Linked DNA regions of Oryzias latipes. The main gene of each other region encodes a partner of the protein of the gene in region 2 in a complex. Links are inferred from orthologs where the notes say so. Each region holds a gene or a part of one and is shown on either strand. Other genes may lie near its edges.

Region 1 (4,277 bases), on a different chromosome or scaffold from region 2:
TTCTGAAACAAGAGACATGTTTTCAACTCCATCCAGTCAAGGTTGACATAAAAAAAAACCTGAAGTGAAGTGAGCTTAAGGCAAACAGATCAACAAGATCATTAAACAGTGACCTTCATTTAGATGGATTAGCTTTCACACTGCACTTCTGAGAGTGGATCAAACTGTTGTGTTTCCCTAAATTCCCCTTTAGGTGCGAATGTGAGTGTTGGTGGCTTTGTGTGGTCCTGAAATGGTTTGGCGAACAGGGTGGAACCCGCCCTCACCCTTTTGAGGTTGGGATAGGCTCCAGCCTCCCTGGGACCCTGAAGAAGACTATAGAGGGTTTAGAAGAAGGAGGCTTTTTCTTTGGTACCTATGTTACTTTCTATGTCTGGTTTACCGGATTGCCCTTCACAGCTGCTAAATTTGCCCGCATTATCAGTCCTCCACCGCCGTGCCTTACAGTTAGCATGAGAAGTTTGATTCATTTCATCTCTGATCTGATCTCACATGTCTACAAGACAAAGTTTCATTCGTCATTTTGACTTTGATGTTATTTTGAATTATAGTTGAGCTTCTTTGTTATTTTAGGAAAACTGATTCATTTTTTTCAACTTGTCCAAAGAATGTCCTCATCTCATCCAATCTTTAACATCCAACATGCTAAATGAGGCCTTCTGGGTCTACAAAGCCGACTTCGCATTCCGTCCGTGATCATATCTTCTAATTTGAAGCAGGACCGAGTACCTCTAAGCATGACGTCCAGCATGGACACATTAATGTCTCTGGAGCTCCTCTCCTTGTTCTCCACTGCATGGCAGAGCTTCCTGGCCGCCTGAACGATGCTGTGCTTCCCGTCTTCAGGAGACAAGACTTTCACCGTGGGTCTGCAGGACACAACTGACACACGAGATACAGTCACCCCACACGGTGAGCATCTCAGCCATCTTTACAGAGAAAGAAATGTCAAGAAAAACTGAGATTCAGGAGATCAGGGCGGTCTCACCACAGTGCTGGTGTTCGTCACCGCCGTTACTCAGAACCTCCACGTTGTATTTGGACCCGTCCAGTCCCAGCAGGTTCTGTTGCTGCCTCATGATCTCCTCCTGCAGATGGGAGTTGTTTTTCTGGAAGATACCTGAGGGACACAAAGACGAGAAAAGTTCAGGTATCGTCAGAGACAAAAATCGGACTTTCTGCATGTCGAGAGAACAGTTTGACTTCATAGGCTAGGATCTGGATATAGAAGAACCCCCCAAAAAGAAAAATAGCACTTTTTTAAACTGATAAACACTTCAGAAGCAACACAAACTGTCAAACTTTATTTAACCCATTTAGAAACAGCTGAAGGAAAGTATGTATCAAACCAAAACAGGTTGACAGAAAAATAAGTTTTTATATTTTCTACAATAGTAACAATAACAAAAGTAAATCAGTGTTTTCTTTTTCAAGTAAATCAAGTAAGACTTCAACCCAAAGGCTCTTGATTTGTTGAAGGTTGTAGACCCCAGTGCTGCAGGATAATGGAAACCAATGATTCTCAACAGATCCTTAGTAACAGTTAGGATTTAGAGCCAAATAAAATAAATCAATAAAGCTTTGTTTTAAAAAAGGACCAACTGTTTCATTGTGGCATACTGTTTGAAAATAATGTTTATATTTTGGAGTTAGACCATCTTTCTTGTGAATATAAAATTTGGCTGAAACCTAAAATAAGTTTGGTTTAATAATGAATTTTTGTTGTGTGCGCCCGAAAAAACTGGATCGCTCTGATCTGAGTCTGATGTCACAGTCAGATCATCACGGATCTGAACCAATCACAGAGGAACAGATCTCAGACCCAGATCATCTTAATTCTTGTGATCAAAACACATTTTGTACTCTTTTACGGTTCAAAACTACCAACATCTTATGCATGTCACTTAAACTTTCGTGTATTACATTTTCTACCGGGGATAAACTAATGTTAACCACAGGCGGTCACGTGACTGGACTTTTTGATTCATCCAAAGTGTGTGTAAGTAATTTAAAAGGGGTGCGCCATGACAGTGCATCATCCGCAGGTGTACTGATCGGGGACAGATTACCGTGATGATCGTAGACGCTGACGTAGGACACACCAACGGCCATGCACCACACCACCAGGTTTGCGATGTCCGTAAAGCTGGGCTCCTCCTCGGCTACCATCAACCCGACGTGCACCGGCAACTTCTCAAGAGCTTTGCCATCCGCCAGCCACTGCGCGCGGCGGCTGCCAGTGTCAGCGCGGCTCCCGCTCACGGGGCTCCGCTCCAGCTTCTTCTGAGAGTCCGTCGGCAGAGCCGCGGGCAGGAGGAGCGCCGCCGCCATCCGCTCCCACAAGCTACCGCCGCGGTTCCGCAGGCGGCCTCGAAGCCACGACATGAGGGCTCTCTTGACGCGAAGCAGAGCGAGCAGGAGCCGCCAAAGCAGGCCGTACAGCAGCGCCATGAGTGCAGCTCCTACTCTGGAGAAATCAGGGAGAAGATTGATTTGCGTGGCTCCGCCGCACTGGAGCGACTCTCAGCTCCCCGCTTTCACTACAGCTGCTGGTTCCACTTCAGCAAACGGTGCTCCACTCCTCGGCTGGTTCCGATAGGCCAACTGGTTCTGTGTGTTAGGTTGTTTCTGTTCGAATCACCTCAGCCCCGCCAATGTATCACCACCTCCACCATAACCCTGCCTGTCAACCTCCGAACTCTGACCTGCGGTGCTGCGTGATACACGGAGCTCTCTGATTGGTCGATACCACAGTGACGGAAACGAGGCCCGCCCAACAATTCAGGGTAGTGTCCCCAGTGGTCAGCGTGCGTATTGCAGGCAATGCTTATTTTTACATGCTTTATGTCTTGAATACTTTCTTTACATTCAAGTAGCAATTCTCAATTTATATCTAACACAGATCTGCTACTTATTTAATATATAAATGTATTAAATAAAATCAAAATGTATTGACTTTATTTCAACAAGGCAACTTTCCATTTGTGGGATAAATAAAGCGTTATTCTAAATTAAATACATTCATTAATTCATCTTCTTCCGTTTATTCCCTTTCGGGGTCATGGAGCTGCTGGAGCCTATCCCGGCCGCTTGTGGGCGAAGGCAGGGGACACCCTGGACAGGTCGCCAGTCTCTGTCACACAAGTAGAGAATCACACACCCACGCAGTCTCACATTCACTCCAATGGACACTTTAGATTAACCAATTAACCTATGAAGCATGTTTTTGGTCGGTAGAAGGAAGCCGGAGTCCCCAGAAAAAACCCACGCATGCACGTGGCGAACATGGAAACTCCACACAGAGAGGTCCCCCATTGATGTTCCGGTTCTTCAGGTCCCCCAGCCAGGACTTGAATCGGGGGCCTTCTTGCTATGAGGCAAGAGCGCCAACCACTGCCCCAATACATTTAAATAAAAATGCCTATTAACAGTAATGTGTTTTACCAAACATCGATTTTCCTTATGTTTATTTGACCTAATGGAAAAATTGACCATTTTAAAAAGAGAGAACGTGGTTATTGCACACATCTTACCGCTAGGCGGCAGTAGCGCGCCCAGCAGTTGCCGCTGATCCATAAAAGAAGTATCGCTCCCCCCTCATTCAGGCAGCGTCATGGCGGACACAAGAGAAAAAGCTTTGCAAGATTACAGAAAGAAACTTTTGGAGCATAAGGAGGTTGACGGACGGCTCAAAGAATGTGAGAACGTGTCTATATCAGTTTGGTGAAAAATAGACAGCAATTTAGCTTGAACTGTTTGCGTTTTCATTTCGATAATCGATAGCCGCGTCTCTCTGATGTTCCTGCTGTGTCATGTAGTTAGCATGTCAGTCTGTGGCCTCAGCCGGGTAAACACACCTTGAACCCAGTTTGCGACTGGATCCCATTTAAGTGGGACCCTTGTGGGTCTTACTAATATAGTCTACTTTGAATCTGGGATTGTTACACCCAAAATTGGACGTTTTTTTGGTGCTATGCTAGCTCCAGCAGCTAACATACAAAACTCAAGCTATGGAAATCTGCAGTGAGACCGCTCAGAGAGCAGAGTCACAGAAGAACCACACCGATTTCTTCTTTAATAAATTGACTACACGGTTACCAGCGGTTTTCAGCGTCTATTTCTGTTGTGTTTTTTAATTCTTTAAAATTGTAACGATAACAAAAACACTGTCCTTTGTGTTAGTGAGGGAGCAGCTCAGAGACCAAACAAAACAATATGAGAAGTCAGAGAACGACCTGAAGGCTTTGCAGAGTGTTGGCCAGGTAAGAACCCAACCT
Region 2 (7,337 bases):
AGCTCCCTGTAAACCGAGGGCAGTGTGAACGTAGCTAAAGGGCTTTGCCACAACTGGACTGAACTGAACTTCAAGCAACAGTAACTGTTTTTCCCCTCTTAGTTTATGGTGTGCCTGCAGAGCAGAACAGGCTTTAAAAATATGTGAATATAAAAATAAAAACCTAGACTTTTTTTCTTTTTAATTAAATGGGTAAATAGTTAAAGTTTCTCTCAGTAAGGACACAGTGAACCCCCCAAAAAAGTAAAGTAGGACTAACCTGGATGGATTTGTGGTTTAACTGATACTGCAGAATGGCTTCACACAGATTCCAGAAGGTGTACTCGGGCCACAGAACCGACTGAAACACCAGACAGGAGTGGGACGTCTGTGGATGGACAACATCTGACAGTTGACATTTCTCCAAAGACAAAGATTTGGATGCCAAACAACAAAAATAGCTGATTTTTGAGAAAACAGCTCAAAGATATGCCTGTAACTGGAAGCAGCCTTTCTAACAAACAAAATAAACAAAAAAAGAGGGAAGTGATGTACGTCTGCCGTCATTTAAAGCTTGTTGTTAGAATAAATACTGTATCGCATTTGATAATCATCCAGTAAAAAAGGATAAAATAATGACAGAACTGAAGCGAAACCCTGATTTGCAGATCTTAAAAGAGTTTAAATTAGTATTTATTTGAGCTAGTATTTCTTTTTTTAATTAGCTGGTTATAAAACTACTGAAAAACCCAACCAGAAATACAAGTTTAACTGATAGGATCACAGGCACTCCCAATACTGGAGAAGAAAACAAATGACTGCAGCGGTTTAGTAATAATAATTCACCTTTAGCCACTACTATTGTACACGTCTTTAATCTTTCATCGTGAAGTGTTTACAAAAATGTACACAAAGTGGCGTATTAGCAGAGCTGTCTTCATACCTGCCACAGGAGGAAGTCACTGAGGCGCACCTCTCCTGAGGTTCGGATCAGGAGATCAGGATTAGGAGAGTTATTGCTGTACAGGCACTCGCTGAGCAACGCCTCCGAAACATCGCTGAGCACGACAGAAACGTGAGCGGCTTGTCAATGTCTCCAGATTATCTGTCTCAATGCTATTCAACACAGGAGTATTGATGAGATTAACCCACAAGTGTCTGGTGAACTGCTCACCTTGCCTTGATCAGGCCCTGCTCAACTCCCCAAGCCATCTCCCTGACGGCGTTGGTGATTTCATATCTGGACGTGTAGGCAAAGCACACGTTGAGAAAACATCTAGAAATAAAGAAGTCATTGCCGTCACAGACGCGTCATGGAATGATGAAACGAGGCTGGGTTTTGCCACTAATCATCGAGTTTACAAAATAAAAGCACAAATACAAAGACATACTTGTTATTAGTTTTAGTTGTTAAAACAGCTTTGGCAATAAGCTGCTGAAGATCAAGTGGCAGCATGTTCAAGTCACCCAGCACCCGGATACAAACGCCATGTTTCTCCAGATTTTCCCTTTAAGACAAAACAGAAACCTTTAAGGGGAGAGACAGATCTTAAAGCAAATCATGACAATTCCAGGAAAAAAATATATTTTCATTTTTGATTATCAAAATATTGTGTGTGAATTTTACTGACAGAAACTTCAAATAAATTCTTGCAACCACAGAGCATTCTGTGGCCTGGTGGGATGTGGAAGGCTGGTTTGCAATGTGCCCTGCATTATAAATCCTGTTGGTAGTGGAAGATATTCCACAGCAGACATCCAGATTAAGAGTAGCTGTCACAGAAAATATTGTTATCAAGGCTAACAATTAAGATAAATCCTCAGAGAGAGAAAAAAGTTCCTGAGCAAACGTGTAAAGGCTGTTTGTGGAGTTGCAATTGAAAAACTTTCCCAACTTCATTGCCGAAACTGATTTTCAAAATAATGTACCCACTTGGCCGAACCTAAAGTCTAAAGCAAAAATCACAAACTTTCACCTTTATGTTGAGAAATACAAAGTCTTATGTTTAACTGGGTTTTTTTCATCCACACCATATCATTCAAGTCCCAATCATACCTTTACTTTTTTTTAACATTTAACATTTGAAGCAGTTTTCTCATGGAGGACATTTCATAAAATAAATTAAGTTAAAATTTTATTTCAGAGTATTTCTTTATTCAAATCGTTCTGAATCAGTAGCAGACGCAAAAAGAATGTTGGGAAAAGCTTGTAGGTGTGACATAGAGGCTACTACGGCAAGCCACAAGCCTGCTGCTCCACTCCAATCTGAGGCTTTGATCTCTCATCTGATGATCTACTTCATCATTCCAACATTAGTAAAGTATCATACTCAATTTTTGAGGAGAATATAGGAATAACAGCTTCAAAAAAAAATCCCTTTTCTTAAACACGTTTCCAACAACAAAGTGTGACTTGTTGAAACCAAAGAATATTCAAATTTTCCCCCTTGAAATTACATGTGTGACTGAAACAAATCTGCTTCCTCTTAAGCTGCGCTGTGAGGAAGCTCTGAATCACATGATGAATCAAAGTCACTAGAACCATAAACAGCAAAGTGGAAATCTGTCCATAAAACTGACCGTTCCTCCAGCAGCCTCTCAAACTTCTGCCTGGCCAGGTCCAGCAGTCCGTCCACCTCTTCTTTAGTGCGCTTGAAGTTCTCAATGCTGAAAGCATAAACTGTCACTTCTGGGATACTCAGCTGCTTGCACCAACGCAGCGTCTGGTGTGAAAGACAAAAGGGGTTAAGTGGTGTGAATATATGGCCCGTAATGGCATGCATTTCCCCACATGAATTAAAAAAAAAACGAACCTCTGCCAGCTTGTTAAAGCCCTGCATGTGCCCTTCCTGGCGCTCCATGTTTTTCTTACGTGCAAAGCGGCGATTTCCATCCATGATAAAGGCCACATGTTTGGGCATGGGTCCTGCCTAGCATTACACGGGATCAGAGAACAACAACAACAACAAAATTCAACAACTGGATGATGGGATTGTAAAAGTCACAAAAGGTTTGAGCGTTAACAAACTAAACAACTGTCATATGTCCATAGGATTGCAAAAACAAATTAGTGTCCATCTGATTTTACAAAGGGATGAAAGCATGGTTGTGATTAAAACAAAAATGTAGTCAGTAAGTTGAGGGCGTCTCAAATTCTGCCGAGATTTTTCAGAAACAAAAGATTCCTGGAAGTTTAACTGAATACAGGAGGCTTTTTTTAGTCTCTCAGTTTCATTAATGCCAAAACAAAGAAACTAATTATTTCAACAAATGGATTTAGCCCGATGCCATAAAGTAAATACTATGTTGGACAGTCAACTTAGATCTGAACTCTGATTAGCAAATCTGAATAATAGGACAATGGTGTTATTGTTTGCCTGTGTGCATATGAAACAAATTGCTTAATTGGGAAAATAATAGTTAGAACTCAAACAAACGCTTCTTTATAGGTTTGTTATGTCTTTATTATATGAATAACTATAGAGGATGACAAAGATAATTTCATATTATATGGAGCAATAAATATCCTGAACTCAAAGTTTAAACCCAAAATGGCACCAGAAGACAGCAGTCTTACCTTAAGGACATTGGAAGCGATCTTTTCAAGCAGATTTAATTCACCTTCCCTTATCCACGACATTTTCTGCCTTCAGACGATCTGAAATTCCGTCATTAAAGCATTTTCAGGTGGTTAAAAACCAAAAACACGTCCCAGTTTGTTAAAAAATATTAGTCCACTGTTGCAAGCCTTCTATTTTTGTCACATTTCTGTTCACTATTACATTTCACAAGCAGCAGCTAAGCTAGTACTACTAGTAGTGGGTTTCAACGTCAACTGCCAACAGGGCTCGCGACACATCATGCAATGAATTAACTGCTAAATGGTTATTTAAGTAAATAAAAAACAACTCAAAATCCTCCAACAGGAACTCACTCTCAACGGAAGCCGCGTTTTTCATTCAGACCATAGAAGAACAAGTTGTTTTCTCATATTTCACAGCTTCCAACTCATAGCTTTTACGATGACGACCACTTCCGCACAGGAACTACGTGCCGTAAATGCGTCATGACGACTTCCTGTTGCACGTGCATCCTCGGATTTTCAAATCACGCACATTGAGCATTTAATTGCGCGCCGTTGTTTGTTCTAAACACACAAGAAAATTACACGGGTTTCGAATTATATGTATTTTAAAGAATCAAATAAAAACTATGTATATCGATGTATCTTCGCCTATTTAAAACAGCGAGTTCTCCTACTCTTTGTCCAATCGCTTTGCGATGTCAGAGGTTGCAAAATAACCGCCAAAACGAGAGCAATGGTCAAGAAACACAAGTGAATAACTAGAAATGCGCATTCACAGAAGTGCAACTATTCTGAGATAGAACAGAAATGCATTACGAATGTTATGATTAAGCTGTCTACTTTCAGACTAAAAGCAAAAATAAAAGTTGGTTTTGCTAAGGTTTTTTTTCTTTCTACTTTGAATAGGTAATAAATAAATATCTGGGTTTATGTCTGGAGAGATAAATGAAACTCAAGGTATTTTGAAGAAGCAAAAAAAGTACATGCTTATACGAGAAGTCTGTACAAAAATAAATGAACAAAAACACACACAGAGATTTCACATATATCTACGAAGCCTCATAGAGGCTGGATAATAATTATTGATGTCAATATTTTTGAAGGGTAATTTTAATGTTTTTTATTATCTATCTGCTGTTTTTAATATAGCGAGAGTAACAAGGTAATTTACCCCTTGTGGGGAAAAAGGTTCAATTCAATTAATTTCTATTCTATTTTTTCCCCATCAGACAACCCAGTCTCATCCTAATACACAACACATGTCATTTTTCGGCTGACATTTGGAAACATCTCAGCAAAATCAAGCCTCTCCTGCATGTCGCAGACTCCCAACCTTTGACACTTTTGATAAATCTGCTTAGGGGTTTGCTAAGTTTCACGGTTTTCATTGTAAATTCTATTCTTGTACAGTTCATGTTTTGGGACTTTTTGCCATTGATAAAACACGTTGTTATGTGTTGCTTATTTATTTGGATTGATGTTGAAATGTGTCAGGGAATCACTCAATTGAATGCCATTAGACTTAAGTGAAAAAGAGTGCTTCAATGTGCTAAATGTTTAATTTTGTCAACTTTTCAGACTTAGAAACACATTTGACCCTCACATAAAGCTAAAAAATATAGTTAATAGTTTCCCTCACATTTTGTGTATGGATTGATTTTATGAATGATAAAAAAGCTTTTTCTGTGAATCCTCAATTTTGTCTCTTCAAAATATGGGGTGCAGTTCCGCCTTTCACCACTAGAGGTTGACATTAAGTTTGTCAACAGTTTGTTTGGACTTTTTTTGGTGACAAAGAAGAAGTTTAAGATTTTTGGGGGGGTTGAGGTACTGGCCCTTTTTGTTCCGCTGGAGAACCCTGCTTGAACGTTGAGTTGGAGAACACACTAAGTAAGAAATCCCAGCTGCGTGGACCATCGGCAAATCCACCGTCCACGGCGGAATCACGCCGGAGTAATAGCGATCAGAATCAAGGCGTTCCAGCGCTGCCGTAGCAGATTCAGGGTCAACGGGCAAAGCAGCAACTGCCTGCTACTGTCGCGTTAGCCTCAACCCCTCTCTGCGGGTCTGGGGGGGGGGGGGGTCGGCTGGGGAGGTAGGGGGCGGGAGTACACCGAGAAAGGGGACGACTCAACACCGACAGGAGGGGGCTGGAAGTCTGAAACACTTCCAACCTGAAGGGGCCGGCGGTTTGGCCACAGCACCCAGGATTAGCTAGCTTGCACCGTTGCGGCTAAGTGAATGGGATCATGGAGCCGGGACCGTCTGGCGCTGGTAAGTCTTTTTCTTATTATTGCAATCAGTCCAAATGTTTGAGTCATGACTGTATACACAGATTGCATTTGGGGAAGTGAGGCATCCTAGAAAGAGGATGCAGTAAGTTGATGTTAGCGCCTCTGTCTCTGCATCGCTACGTTTTGGGAAGATTAAACTGAGATGGAGTGGACATGGAGAGGAGTCTCATGCAATCTACATGCACCACACCATCATTACAGAAAACAAACAAATACAATATTTAAGAGGAGACTCCGGGTGGTGACAATGTGTCGTCTGCCATGTGCGGGGGCAGATAGGTCGTGGGAATCTCTGAGAGGATGATGGGAACGACGTGAATCTGCGGCTGAATCCCGCCTTCAAGCAGCCGCAGCAGCAGCAGCAGCAGCAGCAGCAGCAGCAGCAGCAGCAGCAGCAGCAGCAGCAGCAGCAGCAGCTGGCTGAGTCCCGCAGGTCCCACGCAGCACAGCATCCCCCCTTTATCATGCATGTCTTAAACACCATTTGCCTAGCATGCAACCTCAACCCTACCACCTGCAAAGATCGATCAATTATTTACATGAAAACTAAAATCAACAGTAATTAGATTGTGTGTGTTAGCAGGAGGAGGTAGTTTTGTTCTGGTGGACTTGGAAAAGCTCGTGTATTTACAGTAAACTGGATGTCAATGGGCTTTCTCCCTCTCGTCCTGCATAATTCTCGTTCAAATTTATCTTTAATTGGCAGTTTTCTTAGTGAACACTGAGCCGTAGAAGCAAGAATTGAACAAAAAAGGTTGTGTTTTACTTAACTTATCTCGTAGTTGGGAAAAGTATTGGATGCTTTACTTTTCTCCACTTTTGTAAAACTTTTTTTGTTTGTTAACTTTATCTTTCACTTGGAGTAGCTCTTATTTTCTTAATTCAAGAGGACCGGCGATCTAAAATCACATTGTCCTGCTGGTCTAAATTTTGAATGGAATAGACTAGTTTTTATTTTATTTGTGATTGGAGGGGGGAGGGCCCCTGGGGGCCCTTTATTTCAAAGTCTGCTTTTGTGTTTGAAGTGTGACAGTTGTGTGGCATTTTCCTGAAACCGATTAGACATGTTTACCACACGGTTGATTGCCAAATCAGATCTTTTGAGCTAAAGTGTTGATAGGTGGACAGGACTTTCCATCCTAACAGCATCAGTTGCTATTTTTTATTTTGAGATTTTTAATCATAAAGATTTAAAAGTAACATTTATATATAATATGATGATCTGGAGGTGATAGGGTCATCTTTTAGAAATTAAGTTTAAAACTAAAGATTTTCTTTAATTCAAAGTATTGAAAAAAAGTATTTAAAAACATTTACGCTATGTTACTTTTAAATCTAGAAGGTATTTCTTCATGTCTGGGTCTTTTTTTTTTGCTAGGTGGTTTAAAAAGCAGCAGGGAGTGTCTTTATATTGTAATATTTAAGTTGCACTACCCCAAAAGAAACTGCTATTGTGCTTGTGATATGTGAAAGCCCTG

Evidence for each region.
Region 1: the proteins of dhdds (region 2) and nus1 are in contact, whole or in part, in a crystal structure (PDB 7PAX), measured with the Homo sapiens proteins. The link is inferred for Oryzias latipes from reciprocal best matches to the Homo sapiens genes DHDDS and NUS1. Residues at the interface, in NP_995583.1 of Homo sapiens: Arg37, Arg38, Glu81, Asn82, Lys84, Arg85, Arg159, His160, Ile162, Ser163, Val166, Arg167, Met169, Ala170, Trp171, Val173, Glu174, Pro180, Ser181, Ile183, Ser184, Glu185, Leu188, His199, Glu209, Val210, Arg211, Leu212, Ser213, Asp214; in NP_612468.1 of Homo sapiens: His137, Gln138, Pro193, Glu194, Lys197, Ala198, Ile200, Val201, Ala204, Gln205, Phe207, Cys208, Gln209, Val211, Ala212, Arg217, Pro218, Thr219, Leu221, Asp222, Val223, Leu226, Asp237, Pro246, Val247, Asp248, Ser249, Thr250, Leu251, Gly252.

What each region holds. Positions count from the first base shown.
Region 1 is NC_019882.2:10,566,189-10,570,465, reverse strand, and holds the start of nus1 (dehydrodolichyl diphosphate synthase complex subunit NUS1), read right to left. Parts: upstream 2,801-4,277; 5' UTR 2,452-2,800; coding exon 2,070-2,451; intron 1,121-2,069; coding exon 989-1,120; intron 883-988; coding exon 730-882; intron 3-729; coding exon 1-2. Other genes in the region: psmc6 (26S proteasome regulatory subunit 10B), read left to right, coding at 3,614-3,698, 4,183-4,262. UniProt on the Homo sapiens protein: With DHDDS, forms the dehydrodolichyl diphosphate synthase (DDS) complex, an essential component of the dolichol monophosphate (Dol-P) biosynthetic machinery.
Region 2 is NC_019874.2:24,539,010-24,546,346, forward strand, and holds the start of dhdds (dehydrodolichyl diphosphate synthase complex subunit DHDDS), read right to left. Parts: upstream 4,065-7,337; 5' UTR 3,914-4,064; intron 3,638-3,913; 5' UTR 3,620-3,637; coding exon 3,557-3,619; intron 2,910-3,556; coding exon 2,793-2,909; intron 2,703-2,792; coding exon 2,560-2,702; intron 1,488-2,559; coding exon 1,371-1,487; intron 1,256-1,370; coding exon 1,154-1,255; intron 1,038-1,153; coding exon 923-1,037; intron 368-922; coding exon 260-367; intron 1-259. Other genes in the region: protein argonaute-1, read left to right, coding at 5,815-5,839. UniProt on the Homo sapiens protein: With NUS1, forms the dehydrodolichyl diphosphate synthase (DDS) complex, an essential component of the dolichol monophosphate (Dol-P) biosynthetic machinery.